Linked DNA regions of Neurospora crassa OR74A. The protein of the gene in region 3 interacts with the protein of the main gene of each other region in a biochemical or structural test. Links are inferred from orthologs where the notes say so. Each region holds a gene or a part of one and is shown on either strand. Other genes may lie near its edges.

Evidence for each region.
Region 1: the proteins of NCU08277 (region 3) and NCU00366 form a complex in vitro, tested with the Saccharomyces cerevisiae proteins (3 studies listed by BioGRID). The link is inferred for Neurospora crassa OR74A from reciprocal best matches to the Saccharomyces cerevisiae genes SUI2 and TIF5.
Region 2: the proteins of NCU08277 (region 3) and NCU04640 form a complex in vitro, tested with the Saccharomyces cerevisiae proteins (3 studies listed by BioGRID). The link is inferred for Neurospora crassa OR74A from reciprocal best matches to the Saccharomyces cerevisiae genes SUI2 and SUI3.
Region 4: the proteins of NCU08277 (region 3) and NCU02414 form a complex in vitro, tested with the Saccharomyces cerevisiae proteins (2 studies listed by BioGRID). The link is inferred for Neurospora crassa OR74A from reciprocal best matches to the Saccharomyces cerevisiae genes SUI2 and GCD6.

What each region holds. Positions count from the first base shown.
Region 1 is NC_026503.1:3,590,980-3,595,037, reverse strand, and holds NCU00366 (eukaryotic translation initiation factor 5), read right to left. Parts: upstream 2,801-4,058; 5' UTR 1,916-2,800; coding exon 638-1,915; 3' UTR 299-637; downstream 1-298. UniProt on the Saccharomyces cerevisiae protein: Catalyzes the hydrolysis of GTP bound to the 40S ribosomal initiation complex (40S.mRNA.Met-tRNA[F].eIF-2.GTP) with the subsequent joining of a 60S ribosomal subunit resulting in the release of eIF-2 and the guanine nucleotide.
Region 2 is NC_026505.1:1,363,318-1,368,449, forward strand, and holds NCU04640 (eukaryotic translation initiation factor 2 beta subunit), read right to left. Parts: upstream 3,441-5,132; 5' UTR 3,075-3,440; coding exon 3,063-3,074; exon of another isoform or gene 2,590-3,062; coding exon 2,448-2,589; intron 2,397-2,447; coding exon 1,746-2,396; intron 1,636-1,745; coding exon 1,569-1,635; intron 1,514-1,568; coding exon 1,414-1,513; 3' UTR 767-1,413; downstream 1-766. Other genes in the region: NCU04641 (FAD dependent oxidoreductase), read right to left, coding at 1-303; NCU16952 (hypothetical protein), read left to right, coding at 4,166-4,406, 4,507-4,616. UniProt on the Saccharomyces cerevisiae protein: Component of the eIF2 complex that functions in the early steps of protein synthesis by forming a ternary complex with GTP and initiator tRNA.
Region 3 is NC_026504.1:2,569,142-2,574,220, forward strand, and holds NCU08277 (eukaryotic translation initiation factor 2 alpha subunit), read right to left. Parts: upstream 2,927-5,079; 5' UTR 2,490-2,926; coding exon 2,412-2,489; intron 2,343-2,411; coding exon 1,972-2,342; intron 1,893-1,971; coding exon 1,656-1,892; intron 1,590-1,655; coding exon 1,343-1,589; 3' UTR 952-1,342; downstream 1-951. Other genes in the region: NCU16791 (mitochondrial inner membrane protease subunit 2), read right to left, coding at 154-451, 537-793; NCU08276 (hypothetical protein), read left to right, coding at 3,738-4,060, 4,133-5,079. UniProt on the Saccharomyces cerevisiae protein: eIF-2 functions in the early steps of protein synthesis by forming a ternary complex with GTP and initiator tRNA. This complex binds to a 40S ribosomal subunit, followed by mRNA binding to form a 43S pre-initiation complex.
Region 4 is NC_026507.1:2,572,638-2,577,850, forward strand, and holds NCU02414 (translation initiation factor eif-2b epsilon subunit), read right to left. Parts: upstream 3,357-5,213; 5' UTR 3,135-3,356; coding exon 2,976-3,134; intron 2,892-2,975; coding exon 810-2,891; 3' UTR 391-809; downstream 1-390. UniProt on the Saccharomyces cerevisiae protein: Acts as a catalytic component of the translation initiation factor 2B (eIF2B) complex, which catalyzes the exchange of GDP for GTP on eukaryotic initiation factor 2 (eIF2) and is regulated by phosphorylated eIF2.

The DNA.
Region 1 (4,058 bases), on a different chromosome or scaffold from region 3:
TTAAACGTGATGTACTACCGTAGTGGTGCCATCTTAACAGTAAAGTGAGCACTCGTCCATGACACTCACGAACATCAAGTCGATAACACATAATGCTGAGGAGATTATTGGGACCATAAGAGAGTAGCTAACAAGCAAGTGGAACCCGATGTGCTGAAGTAGGTAGACCTCGATGGGGCACTGTTTCGTCGACAACGACATGAAGGCGCCTACACCCGGAACCGACTGTCTCGGGCACTTTGATCTTGATGATATCTCGTAGCCGCTTCGGGAAAGGACTACAACGGCTCGGAGGATAGAGAGATTCAGGCATTCATTATGTTTCTGGCATCGCTTGAGCAGTATACTGGAATATGTAGAGATATAAGTGACGTGTCAATTCAACGACTAACTAGATGACGTCCATGAAAGCCCCGATAACGATACACAGACACAGGAAAAGACATCCCTTGAGTGCGAACCATGGGACAAACATGAACCAAGACCTGAGAGTGAGTGGAGAAAACTGATCGCAACCCTTTCACGCATTTATCCATCTGCTTCTGGGTTTTGCATCCTCAAAACAACACAAAAGAGCAAGCTAGACTAGGCATCAAGCGGCAACGGAAGTAGTATCCTCAGTGGCGAGGGACATGATTTACTCATCGTCCTCCTCCTCAGATTCCTCCTCCTCAGACTCGGCCTCGGCGAGCCAGGTGAGGAAGGGCTCAGCAGCCTTGCGGATCTTCTTGGAAGTAGAGCCATCGACGTACTTCTTGGAAGCCTTGCTACCCCACTTGGTGATGACCTCCTCGGAGCAGAGGTCGTGGTGGTAGTAGAGCTGGAGAATCTTGACAATCTTGTCATAAGACTCCTTGCCGAGGTCGGCAAGGAGACGCTCGGTACCGCCAAGGAGGGCCTTCTCGTGACGCTCGGAGGTAACGAGTCTCTTGAGCATAGGAGCACGCTTGGGGATCTGAGCAACAATGTTCTCGTCAAAAAGACACTGAACAAGAACCTGGACGGTGCGGTGCTTGGCATCAATGCCGAGCTCCTTGGCCTTGAGGTAGATCTCGACATCGTCGACATTGTTAATGCCACCCTTGGCCTTGGCTTCATCCTCGATCCAAGTGCCGAGCTGGTCGTAGACGGTGTTTCCACCCTCCTCCTCCTCGTCTTCTTCACCATTCAGGACGAGCTTCTGCTTGAATTCGCCAGGAAGGTTCTGCTGACGGGCACGGACGGCCTCCTCGCTCATGTCGACAGCCCACTCCTCCTCCTTGGGAGCCTCTCTCTTGCCCAACTGCAAGCTCTGAGCCTCAGACTTGATCTTGCGAGTGAGCTCATCATCGTCGCTAGCATATTCAATGTTCTTATCCTCGATGGCAGGAGAGGCCTGGTCGGAACCGTTCTCGTCACCGGAACCTTCCTTATCGCCGCCGTTCTGGCGAGCCTTGCGGGCCGCCTTGCGCTCGGCCTTGTCCTTCTTGCTCTTCTTGGGGACGTTCTTGAGGATGAAGGAGGTCAGCTTGAGCTGGGGCTCAACCTTGCTGCGCTGGCCACAGGCCTTGCAGTCGAGAGTGATCTTCTCGTCCTTGATCTGGACAACCGTCTCGGGGTTCTTGCACTTCTTGCAGAGGACAAACTTGGCAATGAAGCCATCGAGAAGATCCTGGAGCTTGGCGGCCTCGTGGGAGCCGTTGATGATCCAGCGGTCATCAGGAGGATCAATGTTGGTTTGAGCACCAAGCTCGAAACCAAAGTACTTGATCAAATAGCCACCGGGACGAGCCAGGGACTGGGCAACGCTGCTGAGGTTGACAACGACGGTCTTGATACCGTTACCCTTGCCTTCAATCTTGGTCTGGATACGCTCCATCTTGTAGCGGTAGAAGGGGTCGGGGTTGTCCCGACGAACGTTGATAAGAGCACCCATTTTGGCGGTATTGACGGCGAAACAGGATGATGTTTGTAGTATTGTTTTGTTGGAGTTTGTTGGGAGTCTGGTAGACGATACCTAACGAGGGCAGACTAGTAGACTGGTCGACGATGTCGTGGAAAGCGAGGCTTCTTGTTGCACGGAGAGCGTGTGAGGAAGATCGAGAGGCGAGACGAGCCAAAGGGGTCAGTTATTGACGAGTACTTTGAGTTGACATAGGGTAGACCGTGTGGTTAACGAAGTCGAAGGTAGGCATTAACGCTGGCAGACGACCGTGGGAATGGCGATTCAACCGTCGGTACTTTGTTGGAAGCTACAGGGTTTCCGCGATATGCGAAAATGCAGCTTGACGGGGGGAGAGTGTCGGAAGACGGCGTGCTGGTCGTGCTGATACATAAACAACGCTGTGTCGCGCAAAATGCTTATGTTGGGTCTGGTGGTGGTTGTTGTTCTGAACCTGGGCGGTGCTGGAACAGAAAGCTGGGCGGGAGAGGATGGCTTTTGAGGCAAGCGAAATTTTTTTTCTCCCTCTGTGACGAGCGGGCTTCCTTTTCTTGACGGAGCGGAGCGGATGGAGTCGAGTGACTTTGTGTGGGTTTCTGCTGGGATAGTGGATTCACTTCACTTCCGTGGTGCGGCACCCGAAATCCGGGGGAGGTGGAGTTGATGGACAGATGGACAGAGAGCCCGGTCGCCTTTGTGGTCTTGGATAGATTCAAGGACGATGTCGCTGCTGATGGCGGTTGATGGGTAGAATGAAGTTGAGGTTAGTTTGGCAAAAAAGAGGCAGCAAGCAAGAGTTTTTAAAAAAGGACGAGAAAGCAAGTGGATGTGGATCGGTGCTGCAGAATGGAGCCAAACCGGGCACGGGCAACAAGGCGGGCAGTCACTGGACGAGCAAGCAAGAGGATTTGTCGGCCAAAGGATTTTCGTGGTGCCCTGGCTAGCCCCCCCATGTACTGTACACTACCTAGTGTAGTACCTGTGGCTCATGGCAGAGCAAGTCTAGGGTACTTCTTGTTTGGCAGGTAATCACCACCACCAGCGGGCTATGGGCAAAGTACCCGAGACATGTGTCCGTTCTCCAAGCCAGGCAACACCAGTTGCCGTGCAGGTACTGCGTGCAGTTCGTTCTTTCACACACTTCGTTTCGACACCGACAATGGAAGAAGGTCCCGTCGCGTTCCATTCCTACCTGCTTACCATCTCCCCGCCCACTGCAACGGGCAGCACAGCAACAGGACGGACGCGCAATGGCGTATGTTCCGAATGGCAAGTTAGGGAACTTGAAAGATTTTGATGCCATTTTGCCCCTCATCCACTCGGCGTTTCCACGCCTCTGCTTTCGATGCTCGAGTTCCGGCCCAAGGAATGCCTCTTGCAACAAGCTGACTCGCCGGACGGTGGCCAGAAGGCACCTGGACACAGAAGGCCGGATGAAAAGGCGGGACTCTTTGATGACCAGCCGGTATACACTAGAAGATCCACGCAGATGGGGGCGTTCCCTGTGTCTGTGCAATGTCCATCCATCCACACCAGAGACCAGTTCCACTTTGGTTCATTGTACTTTCAGTAACCGAGCCAGGCGGAGGAGGCCTTTGTAGTTGTCGGTCAAGTGAAAGTGACGGTCTCCCTCTCCGCCGTGTGCCTGGGTGTCTCACAACAATTACAGCTTGTCTGGGAAAGCCAATTTCTCTCCTTGGGAAACTTCGGAGTTACGGGGATGTGAAAAATGGGCGGCATTCGGGAAGAATCCGAAACACACGCGATATGTTTTGTCAAGGGAAGGCGGCAATATCAATCAACGCTTAACCAAGTCAACTACCTCTAGGTATGTACACTAGACTCATGCGACAAGCTAGTGTAGAACCAGCCCGCACCAATATCTAGGTAGATCTGTATCCGGCAAAGCGCCCCCCCAAACAGGCAATTACTATGCACCTAAGTCGTTAGGTATTGTGTACGGTTTCTTTCAGGGACGGCATCTCTCACCTCTGCGTCTCTCATTCTCAAGCCAGGGGCATCTGTTTGGCTGCAGGTATCATGTATACTTTCATAGCTCGCAAACAAACAACTTGTCTAAATCTCTTGATGACCTTTCGTGGCCATTTGGCAAGACACCAAGACTGTCAAACATCTA
Region 2 (5,132 bases), on a different chromosome or scaffold from region 3:
TTCTTTCCCAGCTCCAGCGCCAGCTCCAGCCCCAGACCCAGATCCAGACCTAACAACAACAACCTTCGTTCCCCTCGTCTGCTCCAACAGGAACCAAGCCGCAAACGCACCCGTAATCCCCGACCCGACAATCACCGTATCAGCCGACTGCGGCAAATCATGCGTGGACCGATAATCATCAAGCCTCTGAGAAATATCGCTTGGTTGCAGCCAGTAGGAGGCGCTGGGATTGGCGGAGGGGAGTCCGGCCTGGCCTGAAGAGGAGGGACCAGGGTTGATGTTGCTGCTGCTGGTTGTGTTCATGTTCGTTTCCTGTTGGGTCGGTTGGGCGGCTCGGCCGAGGTCGCTGTGGTGGTGAGAAGAAGGGTGGGGGATGTGCTGGTCGACTCCTCTGGGGCCGGTTTAGCGGATGGTCATTTTGGCTTGTACCTGGTGGTTGTGATGATGAAGGGGAAGACTTGAGTGATGAGTGGAATCGAGCAGGTAAAGTAGTGATGAGTCACGTTACGCGTTGACTTGGAAAGTGTTGACTAATCTATCGAACAGACAGACGAGGTTGAACCGTTGAGTTGTTGCCTGCGGCCCATCGTCTTATATGGGTTTGTTGATGCAAAATGTGGAGGGGAAAGATTCTCCCGAAGCTAACTATCATGCATGTGCTCGGCATATCATGGATCGATCGCCAAAACATCGGAACGTAGTGTATACGCAATGTATACGCGTCAAGGTGAGATTTCGAACCTAAGCGGCCGCTTTTTCTCACCAATCGCGGAGTATCAAGGTTTATCATTTTACTCAACTGCCACTTTGAGTTTCGATAACATAATGTAGTTTATAAAGGTAGACTGAATGGCTATACATACTGCAAAGAACAGAGAATAATTCCTGTTCGCAAGATCTCAAAATCCATCGCTTCGTAATCCTGCGCTCAGTCAGCCTCTTCCTTGCTCTCCCAGTCTAGCTTGCTGACCATGGTCATGAATGACCTGAGAACCTCTGAATCCCACATCAGTCTAGATACAACCTCGCAGCCCTCATCCATATAAATCAGACAAGCTCAGGAAAAGAAGAAAGCCCTCCTCTTTATCAGACTCCCTATGCAAAGTAAGGATAAGTGTGCCACCATCATCAAAAACCAGAACTTTTTGTGTACCAATTCTTCATCAAGTATCGTCATATTAACCCGTACCCTACCGCGTAAGGAATTCACCTGATTTTGTAGCACAGACTCTCTCTTCCATCCTCTCTCTCGTGTACTGGAGATGAGAGATTGCCGTTCAGAGGGGCCGTGCTACTTCGTAAAAGACCCGTGCCCAACCAGCCATATACAATGCCGTCTTAACTCCGTCCTTGAAGCGTGAAAACATTGAAAAGCAAACTGCAAGGGCCTCGAAACAAGAAAACAAAAACCGCTTAACCCTGCATCTTCTTTCTCTTGCCGACCTGGGCAGAGAAACCGGTCTTAATGGCCTGGACAGACCGCCTAGAACCGCAAGAGTTGCAGGTAATGAAACTGTGACATGTCAGCATTTTGGGGCTATGGTCGTCGTAAACAGAGGCCAACTTACTAAAGACGGTTCTCGCCCTTGGAGAGCTCGGTGTTGGGGGAACGGCACGTCTTGCAGGTAACGTACTCTGTTGAGCATGTTAGCATTTGTAGTCAGAGCAAAACGTTGGGTGCTGGTGGTGACATTGTCTACTTGGGCGCAAAACGTCCAAACGACGACAGGATCAAATAGACATACCGATAATGTAGGTACGCAGAACGTTCTCGATCTGCTTCTGCTGGAAACGACCCTTGATGACCAGACGCCTGCTGCCGTCGACGGAACCGCTGGTACCCAATTCGGCGAAAAGGTAAGAAGTAACGTGCTCGTCGGCTCTCTTCATGCGCTTGCAAATCTCGGGCAGGTTGGCGAAGATGGTCTTCTTGTTGCCTTCACGGAGACACTGCGGGGGCGGGATCTTGTACGACCGTGTACCGGTAGAGGCGTGGTCGGGGTTCTTTTGCGAGAGAAGGGCGAAGAAACGGGACAGAAGAGCGTTGTAGCTGATGGGCTTGGTCTCGTCGTGGGCCCAAATGCCGGTGCCCTGGTCCATATCGCCCTCCTGCTCGTCCTCCTGGGGGGCGGCCTCCTCGCCCTCCTTGCCCTCAATGTTGAGAGCCTCCAGCTTCTTGGCGAACTCATCATCCTCCTTGACGACCTTCTTCTTCTTCTTTTTCTTCATGGTGAGGTCGATAGCACCGTCACCCTCGGCAGGGGCGGCCTCATCAGCAGCGGCGTCGGCATCGTCCTCCTTCTTGACCTTCTTCTTCTTCTTCTTCATGAGCGAAAGGTCGAGGCCATCATCGGCGGCGGGGGCGGCAGCAGCAGCAGCATCCTGGGGCTCGGTGGCTTGGGGGGCATCAGTAAAGGCCCCGAGAGCGGCGTGGAGGGGCGGCGTACGAGCAGAGTGGGACTGGGCAGTCTCCTTGATTTCGTCGGCGGGAGAGGCGTCCATGGTGACAGAACCGTCGGGGTTGACAACTAGCTTCTCGTCGGTAAAGGTGACAGACTTGCGCGAGGGGCGTCTTTTGATAGAGGGCGCCTAAAGGGTTAGTATATCGGAGTGGATAAGGCGCTTGTCGTGGGAGTCGCGATAGCGGTCAAGGATTTCGCCGTCGAGTGTGGATAGGAAAGCTCGGAATTTTTTGGGATGATTGGCGGCGTTTTCGCGCTGCAGAGTGCCAGAACTTTATGGTGGATTTTGGGCTGGGGGTGGAGGGAGAGGGTTGGCGCCTTGGAGGGGCAGTACACGTCAGGGGACTTGAGGGCTGGGGCCGGGGATAGGTATAATTGCACTGCGTAGGTAGCAAAGTACAGTGAGGGGTGTGCAGTGTGGTGAATGGGACTTTTTATTTCCTTAGTATTTTTGACTAGGCGAGAAGCGTGGCTCCCCCCAGGGCTCGAGGTGTCTGCCTCTAGCGTGGTGGTAGGGTCGGGGAGGACGGAGGGTGTGTTGTGTGGGCGTAGAGGTAGTGAGTGTGTACTGAAGCAAGGAGATCCATCCCAGGTACTTACTTCAGAATCCATGCTGGGCCACTGGTGTGTTTGAGAGTGTGGTGGTGTCTGTCTGTCTGTCTGTAGGTGTGTGATTGTCCGTCTTTTTCTTTGTAATCGATGTCTCTTCCGGTGGACTCTTTGTTGGTCGCAGAGAGTGGATTTTGTCGATGGATGAGATTAGGTAGACTTTGGGGTCGGGAGAGGTATCGATGCAGGCAGACTGATCTCAGCTTTCTTTCAGTTTCGGACCTGGAATTGTTCTTTGCGGGGACCTAGGTAGTTGGATGCCGCTTGGGTCCTGGTCTGGTTACCTACTACTACTGTCGTTTAGTTCTGTCGTTGGGCTGGAGACTGAGCGGAGTTCTTTCTGTACACACGGCTCTGGATGGGGCACCGGCACCACGCCTCAGCTGTGTTCACCTCATGACGTTGATTGAAGCGAAACTGTGAGTCAGTCTTCTCAATCACCTGACAAGTGGGGTGGGAAGAGCTCAGACAGCTGCCCGCCACTTGCAACTACAAATCGCCTCCGCTTCTCCATTTTCCAGGCCATGCAGCCCTCCTCCCTGCAGCACGGTGCCTTCAACCCGCTCGAGCCACGGCCGCACAGTCCGACACGGTTGGGTTGGCACTGGCACTTGCAGTCCGGTGCAGTGCTTGGCGGCAGCGATAGGTGAGTGGTGTCCATTCCAGCATCGCATAGCTGCACTGCTGCAGCAGTTGGTGCCGTGGCCCGTCATCGGTCACCGACAACAACCAGCTCCATCACGAACCTTGGAAGGCGCGCCGAGTCCGTAGAGGTATCCATCTCCGTGTATCGCTGTGTTCGTAACCGACAACGAATCTCCCAGCAGCAATCAAGTTCGTCCCACGCGATTTCTACAATATCCTACACGTCAGGCGTTACGCCGATTCGTACAGTGTCTCCATCCCGAACTATCGCAATTTGCCCGAGCTACGATAGCTACTTACAGTACCATCTTCACCGCGACAACCGACCGTGCGCCGGCGCCGACCACTTGCTCGCCTCATCCAAACCACACTGACGATAGCTACCTACTCCCGGCCAGAGACGCGATACCCTCAGACAGACAAATTGCGCATTCGGGACATCCAAAACCATGTCCACCCCCTCCGATTCCTACGTCCTCCACGACCACTCCCCGTCAACCGACAACGACGATGTCGACTCCCTCCCGTCCATCTCCAGCAGTATCCTAGGCTCGGACGACTCCGAGTACGACGACGAATCAGACGCACAAAAGGAATGGGAACAGAGTCTCGAGCAGCTGCAGCTTCTCTTGAACTTGGTGCTAATACCGTTCGCGGGCAAGTTTTTGGGGCGCAAGTTTGCTTATTGGAGTAAGACAAACCAAAACCAGATCTTGGGAAAGACAGCTTGCGCTGTGGGAGGAGACAATAACGACGATGCGGAAAGTCAGTTGCTAACATGGCCCGGCAGGTTGGGGACGGTACATGGAGTGGGCGCACGGGGTCAAGGTCCAATGGTATAACAAGACGCTATTCAACATTGCCGGTTGGATAGGAGCTGCTACGCCAGTATCAGTATGAGGGAGGCAGACAGGCGACCGTGGTGATGAGGTACTCGAGTCAAAGGCGACGGCAGCACAATTCTCGATACCCTATTTTTTCGGTATAATCTGGGATACCAGGGGTGGACACAGTGCTCTTTTGGCGTTACGGTATGGGAACACTAGCATAAAGGGGTATGTTTCGTTCTTGCACAGTTTGCGTTGCATTGGTGGTGAAGAATTACAGACATGTGTAGAATGCATGTGGACTGTCGTTATACTTGTGGAAGCAAGCGTTGAAGCTCTGCAGATACATCTGATCATCAGACAATGCCAATTATACCCATTACTATTGCTGACTTTAGGTTCGACTGATACTATTATAACATGCAGGTTCTGATCTTCCTTTCCTCGTTCGCCATATTAACCCAAGCCATCACTACGTAATTACACTGATCTGGGTATAATTGTCGAGGGTTGCGACACCGCACACCCATGATGAAGCGAATAGCTATCCATCACCATAACTCATCCTTGCTGCCATAGCCCTACTCAT
Region 3 (5,079 bases):
GCCACCCTTGTCGTTTCCCACCCGTGGTGTTTGTTGACGATGAGCATCTTATCTCGTCTACAAACCCACAAGGACTGTGTGTGCACCCAAGAAAGCAGCATGTGTGAATATGAACCATTCACGCAAACAAGGTGTGTATCGATTCGCAATGGCTCACTCCAGCAGATGGCGTGCCTTCTTGATCCCCGGTCGCAAGTTATGCTCCCACCACTTTACCCGCCCAAATCGATCCCACGGCGACAGAATATGCGTGACACGGCCGGTGACCAAGCACGCTGATATCGGGCCGTAGTAGTTGCTGTCCTTGGTCTTGTCGCCGTCTCCCTCTACCCAGATGTGCCCTTCTGGTACCTGGACGTATTCATGCGGGTAAGGCGCCTTGGTACGGATCACGTCGCCTGCTATTCCGACCACTCTTTTTACGACCTTTCCCTTTGGGTTCAGTGGGTTTCTGGGTTACAGTTAGTCGTCAGGTTCCCAACCAATGCCCCGAATGCGGCACGCCAGATGCTGTAGGATGAGATTTTGGATCTCACCTAAAGGTCACAATCATGCCGCGCTTGAGGTTCCGGTCCGGGTACCACTTAGAGACCAGTACGATGTCCCGACGTGTTGACTCATTGTAGTGCGGGTTGAAGAAAGGATACATGGACGGCCCCTTGATTTGTGTGATCTCGGCAACCCAGCCGTTGAAGACCACCAATGGAGGGATCCATGTTGCGTAGCGAATGAGGTAGTGTGAGAACTGACCGAGGAATCCGTTCCGAATTCCTGCTCCCCATCGCGCCGCCATCGCTATCCGACCAAGCGAGTTATCGAGCTACCGAAGATGTCAATGCGATGCAACTCTTTGCTGTGAATCGCAATGCTGCTGTGAAATAGAGGGCGTATGTTCGCCTCAACGTGCTCAGTGAGCAGGGCAGTGAGCAGTACGGAGCTTGTGTGTTAACATGGAGAAGACAATAATTGCAGCCACATGCCCGGGCAGGCGGCGATAAGAAAACGATGAGATCGCTTATCAGCCCCGGTAGCTGCATATCCTTGAACGCCTAGATCTACCTAGTTACAGCAAGTGCATCCATAAAATGACTATGTATCCATATCAAGTCTTGTGTTCATCAATCCTCGTCCCTCGCTCACATTCATTAGGCATACGCTTGATGCAATCTTTTGGTTGATTCCTCTACCGCCTGAAGGACTTTTGTATCCCCTAGACGCCAGCCCTGTGTCGCAAAAACTGTATACATGCATCCCTAAACCTTTCCTCAAAATAGTGTCGAGTATCCCAATGAGCCTGCAAAGATAGCTCCGTTTAAGAATGGCTGCAAAATGAAGAGGCGCTTTAGACGGTCTCGGGGATATTGTCGTCGGACTCGCTGACACTCTCGTCGCCGCTGACCTCAGCGTTCTCACGCTCACGCTTCTCCATAAGAGCTTGGAGCTCAGCATCATCGGACTCAGTGACAGCCTTGGGCTCCATCTTCACCACAAGGTGGCCACCAGCAGCCTCGATGCTGGTCCGCATGTCTTGAATGGCCTCCTGAAGGCGGGCAATACCGGCATTCTTGTCCAAGCAGGTGTTGGTAAGGCTGTGTATAGTTATTAGCTTCCACTCTGTCTTCAACATTGCAAGACTATTTCTGGCAAAGACTTACACATAAAGGGGAGGGGACACAAGTCTGCACTTGACCTGGGTTTCCTCAGTGTTGCGAGCCTCCGCAGTGCGGAGAGCGGTCTTGATAGCATCGATACCCTCGTAGCCGAAGCAAGTGACCTCAACATCGGCACGGACCTTGGTAGGCTGGGGAGTCAAACGCTTGCTGATGTAGGTCTTGAGCTCCTCGGCAACGGCCTCGGTGGGGAACTGGATGTCATTCCAGACGTCGGGGTTGCTTCACATCCATGTCAGCATCTTGTCCAATACCGCCATTTTGTCCCACAGCTGTACGCCTATTTCCCGGAATGACGTACGTGATCGAAAGCTTGAAGGCATCAAGCGAGTGGCCGTATTTCTTGTTGAGGGGCCATCCTATTGTCTCGTAAAGCTGCTCGATGGGAACAAGAGTCTTCTCGGCAACGTGGCGCATAATCGAGTGGACGATCTTGCTCTTGTTGTAACGCTCCTCGCAACGAACGATATCCTCGGGGGACACACGACGCTTGGACAAATCGATATAACCCTTCTCCTTGTCGACACGGAGAACGACGACGACCTCGTTGCGACCGACACGGATCAACTTCTGGATGGAACGAATACGTCTTCTGGAAAGCTCAGAGAGCAGGATCATGCCGTCGATGTTGTCGTACTCGAGAAGCTTGACGTAGGCGCCCATATCGGCAATCTAATCTGGGGGTCAGCTCTGACGCATCCACATGCGCATGCGCACCACCGGGACCCCAGTGTATCGTACTTGCTTAACATTGACCATAACGAACGAGTCGATTTCAGGATACTTCTCCTCATAGAAACGGCAGTTTGAGAGCGACATGTTGGCGACTGGTGCCTTTTCCCGGGCGGGGCAAACGGTGAAATAAGTGGTGGTGTTAGTGGTGTTGAAAGGGGGAGGGTAATGTCGGCGACGAGCTTCGCGACAATGGGCGAGATGGAATTCGAGTGGATGGTCTGGAGGGGTTGATGGCCGAGAAAGAAAATTGACCGAGTTTCGCTGCAAGTGGCCACAGCTGGGAAAGGTCCTCTGGAAGTTCGAGTTCTGGTTGCGGCAGCGGGTTCTCGGAGGGTCCAGCGAGGCTCAAAGGACTCACTCAAAGTTAGCCAGATGCGTCGCAGTATTTTTCGGGTACCAACCAAAAATTACGTGCAGACAGGCTGCAAAAGTGGCGTGGGCACTTTGGGAGGGAACGAAGTAGGCTGTGGCTGGTGCGCCGGATTGAGGGGTGAATTTCACGTTCTGACCGTGACGGCAAGTGAGACGCGGCTCCATCTTTTTTTTTTGAGGTGGGGTAAGTCGGGTACCTAGGTAAGGAAGCGCACAGCAGCCCAGGTGGGAACAACGGTACGCAAAGGCAGGTACCTGCTCTCGGTTAGGTACCTCTACTTACTCCACCTGCCCCGAACTCCACTGTGCCAAGCGCCAGCTCAGTGGGCAGGAACAACGACGTCAATCGTGAACCGACAGTGGGGTTAGTCACTGATAAGCCTGGAATCTTCCTTGGACATCGTCGAGCTAGGGAGCTTCAATCACTGAACCTTGCTTGTCCACCAACGGCGACTTGGAGATTCGACTTTTGCACGGCACCCAAACGAATCCCGAGGGCCGACCAACACCCGACGACACTGGGCTCATCTAAACCCTCCGCACATGTCGTTACTTTTGGAGGAGCTCACCCGTTTCGCTTTTCTCGACGGTCTCCGTCTTGGGTGACAACACTTGGACCGATATGAAAAAGAACAGAGCGACGACACCGCAGACCAGGTAGTAAGAGTTGGGTTTCAACCACAGGCACATCGGGGAGGGGACAGCTCATAGGTCTTGATCAGGTTGCGACGGTACTTTTGGGGTTCAGACACGCTGATCGATCGAACACCAACTATTCTTCACGACCATCCCCACGACGACGGCGCGACACTACCGCGATACCTACAACCCTATAAAAAAAAGGAAACACAAAAACAAAAACATACATACACACTCTCTTCTTTCTGTCAGAACCGATCTACACGACGGGCTCGCCCGGTAACTCTTGGCTTGCTTGCTTGGTGCTTCAGGCTTCTGAAAATGGAGTCTCTTAGCAACCTCGGCAACGCCATGAGCTCGGTGCTTTCCGAGACAACGTCCACGACTGCGACGGCAATCCTCGCCGATCCTACAGAAGCCCTCTCGTCTGTCGTCGCTCTCGCCAGCGATGCGGTCTCGAAAGCTACTAGCGATGTGGTTCCCGAACACACCCCGACTTCATGGTTCACCATCATCCTCTGGCTGTTGCACCGCATCTCGAGTGTGCTATACTTTGTCATCAAGCTGACCACCATCACTACACCCACCTTTCTGTTCAACATCTTTTCGACTAGTCTGACGGTGACCATGAACGCCACTACGCTGTAAGTCATCCGCCAGCCGCATTTTGTATACATGGACTCAAGGCTGGTGGATCTAACCGTCGGTATGCTTAGTGTGCTTATTATGTTGTTCATGATGGCAGGAGTGACCTGGGTAGTCAGATATCGCTACTTAAACATGTACTCACGGCTTCCTCCTGAGCCCCAGCGCAAAGAGCCAGCTGTTGATCTGTTCCCCGAAACACAGGAGGAAGGAGTAAAGTCTGGGCTAGCTAGCTACTTTGACGAGTTTCTCAGCGCCATCAAAATCTTTGGTTATCTGGAAAGGCCGGTTTTCCATGAACTGACCCGCAGCATGCAAACGAGGAAGCTGATCGCTGGCGAAACCCTCAACCTCGAAGAAGAGCAAGGATTCTGTCTTGTGGTCGACGGTATGGTGGAGATCTTTGTTAAATCCGCCAGAGATGGTCGACGCTCAAGCAGTGGCCCTTCGTTCGAGAGCGACGATGAGGAAGGCTTTGCTCCGGGTCGCCAGCGCTACCAGCTTCTGACCGAAGTGCGGAACGGTGCCCCCATGTCATCACTGTTCTCTATCATGTCACTCTTCACTGAAGATATCCAAATGCATGACACCGACGACGACGACAGCCCCGACCCAACGCCTTCCGCTCCTGGCACCGCTATGCCTGGTTATCCTATGAACGCCAACTTCCAGCAGTCGAACGATACCCTCCCGTCCATCCCAGGTACCCCATTGTCCGACAACCACGTTATGCAACGTGGGATGGCTTCGGCTGAGTCTCTAACAATGTCTCCCCTAGCTCATGATTCTTCGAGGATACCATCACTTTCTCTCGTGAACACTCGTCCTGCTGTACCCCGCCGGCCGGTACCGAAGAGGCTCAATACCACTTCAGCCCATCCAGATATTATTGCGAGAGCGACAGTGGACACTACCATAGCCATTATCCCCGCCAGCGCCTTCAGGCGTCTGATCAAGATATATCCCAAGGCCACTGCGCACATCGTTCATGTCATCCTTTCGAGGTTTCAAAGAGTGA
Region 4 (5,213 bases), on a different chromosome or scaffold from region 3:
TTCTAACCGTTAATCTACTACACCTTACCCAACTTCCCATCCGCCTTTGCTTTGACCATGACTCAGCACTTAAAAGGACAAGTGACAGATGGAGCCATCCGACGGGAACTAAGCCACTGCGCTGTGAAACGAGGACGGTCTACGGTGTAACAATGTGGGCAACATCAATGCGGCTGTCCATGAAGACTCCTGGCCTTTTGACGTTTCTATTCCCAGCAAGTCTCATGCCGCCAACAAGCTTGGATGAATCTATGGTTAGACTTGCCCTTCGGATTGATAAGTGCATTCTTCATGGTGAGGATGATGTCCTTCGGTGATGAGTTTGGGCAGTAAGATAATTGTGCACATTATCACCAAACTTTTTGACCCAAGATGTACGTATGATGAGATAGCAAGTTGAGTGTGAAGCAAGGACCAAAGTTGGAAAGCAAAGAGCATGCATGGGTGGTTCTGACTGTTGCGACCTAGTATTCTTGACGACGCTCACCTATACAACCTGTATGCTGAGAGCACTCAGGCCATCATTTTAGTAAGGCTGCTCAGTGTAGTTCATAAAATTATCACAGGCATTCGTGCTCATACAAAGGAAGATGTGTTGAGAGCGAGGAGTATGCGGATGTCAAATTTTCCTTCATTTTCCCGTCCATCCATTCTCCCCTTCCCAAAAAGAGAACACAAGCAATATCTCGAGGTCGCAGGTGCTGCGGGTATAAGTTCATCTACACCTCCCCCTTTTCGTTCTTCCACCCTTGCTTCCTTCTTCCAAATAATCCATCCCTCTTGAGCATGCACTTCCATTGATAACCCATCTAGTCACTATCCTCATCCTCTTCATCACTGTCTTCGTTGCTATCCTCCTCATCTGCATTCTCCAGCCATTCGACCAGCACACGACTCCTCTCCTTGATCTTGGAGAGTGTATCATTCTCTGCAGCCCTGGCATCCGCCCACCAGGCGAGAATACCTTCCTCCTCGAGAACGTCCAAGTTATAAAGCTGCTGCAGCATGGCGGCAAGTAGCGTTCCTGCGCGCGCAGAATCAAGCCCCTTAATGGCTGCCAAAGCTTTCTGCAACGCGAGGGCAAACTCAGCGTGGAGATCGACCTTGTTTCCGCCGACGCCAACCTCTGTAATGAACTTGACGGCACCCTTCTTGGACGTAAGAGCCCGGCCAGCGGCCTTGGTAGGCTCAAGACCGCCGTTTTCGGGACTCATGAGCTCGGCGGCGCGAGTGGCAAAGGCTACGGCAATGGCCTTGCGCATCATGCTGTCCGAAGCATTATTGGCCAGTCTCAAACCCATGAACTCCAGCTTCGCAGAGTCGAAATCCTCGTTGTCGTCAGCACGGAGGGCATCTACAAGTCCGTGAACAGCGTCACCATGAAACTGGTCGAGCTTCATGACGGCGGCAGCGGAATCGTCAGACGCGAAGGAGGATAGGCGCTCCCGGTTGGTCTTGGCTTGGAGGCCTTGCTCGTACTCGTCATCCGAGAGGTCATCATCGGAGTCATGGGTCGCTAATGTGGAGATGGACTCGCTTGAAATGTTGAGGCCAGCCAAAGAGTAAATGAGAGAGCTTTGGAGAACTGCGGGGTCCGCATCGCCTTCATCCTCGGAGTCACTATCCTCGTCGTCTTCTGGCTCTTTATATTGGGCTCCCTTGCCATCGTTTCCGACCAGTTTGATGTCGGTCTTGACCGGCTCTCTTTCACTGGTAAAGAGGGATATTCTCGGTAGGGGTTTGGATGAGAGTTGTGTTCCGGCGCTGATCCGCACACCGTAGGAGATGAGAGAGCCTTGAGGAATGTAGCTGTGCTTACCAATGACTGCATCGTTGGCTACAATGGAATGCAGAACAGTAGCACCGTCTTCGATGACCGCGTCATCCCAGATATAGCTGTTCTCTATCCTCACGTTCTTTCCGATCTGGCACCTCCTTCCGATGATACTGCTCGAGATTGTGCTGCCGGTGTCGACATAGGCGGTCTTCCCTAGTACGGATTTGGTTACTGTGCTGTTTTTTGCGATGTGTGCGCCATCCTCTAACCACAGACCCCGTTTGTACTTGTAAGTTTGTCCGTGAAGAAGGTTGCTATCGGGGACATACGGTAGCGCCCAGCGGTGGAGGATATCCTTGCTGATGCAATCATACATCTGAAGGTTGCTGGCGCGAGCCCCGTAGCCTTCCTCAAGAATCTCGGCGCTGATGATCTTGCCGTTGAGCTCCCAGTCTTTCAGTACGCCGTGAAGGAAGTTCTTGCGGGGAAGCTCGTAGTCGAAGCTCTCGGACCACAAGGCCAAAACATCTGGCGTGCAAATATCGATGCCACAATCGATCAGATCGGTGCGTAAGTCGAACTCAGCATACTCGAATACCGACTCGTCCAACTTGACATACTTGTCCTTCTGAAGTGGGTGCATCTCTTCATATTGCAGACAACGGCCGTTGGTGGGGTCGACAACAAAGACAGGAGTAATGCCCCGGGCCTTTGCAGTCCGGTGAGGGCTGTCTCCTGTTGAGCGCAAGACGATGGTCATGCAGGCGTCTCTGTTGGCCTCTCTCCTTGCGCGGTGCCTAGCCAGAATACCATCGAGGGGGATGTTTGCGACAACATCGCCATGAATCAGAATGAAGTCACCCGAGATAAGACTGCGCTTGTCAAGATCTCGCAAAAAGTCACCGATGGAGCTTGCGTCGGACACGCGGATGAAGTCGACAGAAGAGAAGGGGCAGAGATTGCTTTCAGGGCTCCATCGGTCAGAGTCGTGGATGTAGGTTTCGACGTCTTCGGAGTGGGCGCCGCAGTAGATGAAGACCTCCTGGACGCCGTTGGAGGCTAGATACTCGAGCGTGTATTCGATAACGGGCACGTTGACCAACGGAAGGAGACACTGTCAGGAGAAGGCCGTCAGTACTCAGAGGTCACCAGGGACAAGGGACACGAAGCATTTAGCACGAAGCATGAAGGCATTTACCCTGGGCTTTTCAAGCGCGAAAGGCTGAAAGCGATCTTGGAAAGAATCGGCGAGGATGACGGCCTGGAGAGCATCTTCTCTCTTCTCCTCGGCGCCGCCCTTGGCGGGCTTTTTGGACTTATTGGCAGCCCCGCCCTTGCTGACTTGCTTGCCCGACATTGCCAACTGAAGTCTATTTATCAGCTCGAACTCTACAGGAATGGGTCGACGAGGGCCTGGTTGAGTAAGTGGCCGCGGATCGGGAAGCGCGGGGAAGACTGTGGTAGAAGGAAAAAGGTGGGGCTGCACAATGTCAAGAACGGCGCGTTTGAACTTCAAAGCTGGGGTTGATGATGCGCCTGCCTCGGCCGCCGTGCGGTACCAAAACCTTGCAATGATGAGTCAACGCAGTGACCCAATTTGTCCAAACTTTCACATTGTGTTTTCCGTAAGGTACTGCATGCTTGGAGGTGGGGCGCAGGGCTATCACCTGTGGCTTGTACGTACCATCGGGGCCTTAAGTTTACCGTACCGCGTACCAACTGCACTGAGCCTTACAGGTGGTAACTTTCATCAGTGGAAAATTGTGGCGTTGGAAATCACTAGCCGCATTTGGGCTCCCATCATATCGATCATGACAACTGAAGTAGCCGCATCAAGCACATCATAGCACCGGCACTGAACAGTACTTCGTGTCCTAGTCGTGTACACTACAACACGATAGTGCTTAGCATCTCCCTTGGCCGCACAAAAACGGCAACATGTATGAAAGGGAAGGTACTAAGTAGTGTGAATAGTACACTTGAGCCCTGGAAAGTTCGTTAGCTCGGTACATACAGGGGTTTTGACAAGGGAGGCGACTAGGGATAAATCCAATCAAATTACGCATACGAGGCCCGCACAGGAAGAACAGGGACAACAAAGCTACCGTAAATCAATCAATTTCACATACTAAAACCAGGGATTCTCAAATACCACAATTGTAACCGTAACCTCAGCCAAATCAATAGTCGGTATACCCGCCTTTTGCCTTAATAACCGCCTCAAGCCTTCTAGGCATTAAATATACTAAGCAAAGTAAGTAGTCCTCTAATACAACCTCCCAAGCCTTCTCGATAGCCAATTTAAAGCTATTCCCAATCAGTCTAATTAGGTATTCACACTCAATCCATCTCTTCATAAAGGCCCAAACGTTCTCAATAGAATTAAAATCAAGGGAGTAGGGCGGCCAATCGACAATAGTAGCGCCAACAAAAGCATCCTTTATAAATACCTTCGTTAACTTCGAACTATAAGCTAGTGCATTGTCTTACATAACGACAAAAAACGAATTCTCTTACCAAAATTACCGCAGAAAAGGGAAGACATACTTCTAGTAAATATCGCTAGTAATCGTACCCCAATCCTTATAATTCCAAAAGAGGAATGTACCCTTTTTTTTACCTATAAAGTAAATCTAAAATATCCATCCCCGAACTCTAATTTTAATTTTAACGAAGTCGCTAACCTTCTCATCCTTAAAAAGGGTAACGAAATAACAGCTTTAAGTAACGCTATTTACCTACGTCTCATTAAACTAAATCCAAATCTCCTATTCCAATAGGGTAAAGCCGGCGTACCATAAAGCAAATTTAAAGTGGAAACGACAGGTCTTATCGCTTAGAGGAAGATAAATTAGTTATTCAATGCAACGGACACCCTAAATCTCTATTGCAGCTTAAATAGCCTCGCAACCGTAGCTATTAAATTTAAATATATACTTCCCCAATTTTACCTACAATAAGAATCTTTTCGATTTTATAGGGGTATTTATATACTAAAAGAGAATATTAACAACGGCCGGCGGAATGGTAAGGGGTCTACCCCCCGAATTGTAATAAGGGATAGCCTTAACGAGATAAGTATATTGAACTTATTTAATAGTAAAATTGAGGGCGGCAGCAATCTCTTTATAATCCATCTTAGTATACGTCCGAAGCGCCTTATAAATAATATACTCCTTGTATATAGTTAGTACCGACTTTCGTTATTGAAGGGACGGTTGAAATATAAAAAATAACTCGGCGGGGTTAACCGACAATAAGAAGGAGGTATTAGCACTAGGTAAGGGTAACAATAAAGGGTCTTACCTACCGCCGTTATTATTATTATTATTATTATAAACGTTGCGGACTTATTAGGGTTAAAGCGGGGTAGGACCTTCGAATCCAAATAAGGATAACCGTAACCGAAGTACTAATAATAATAATTAATAATAAT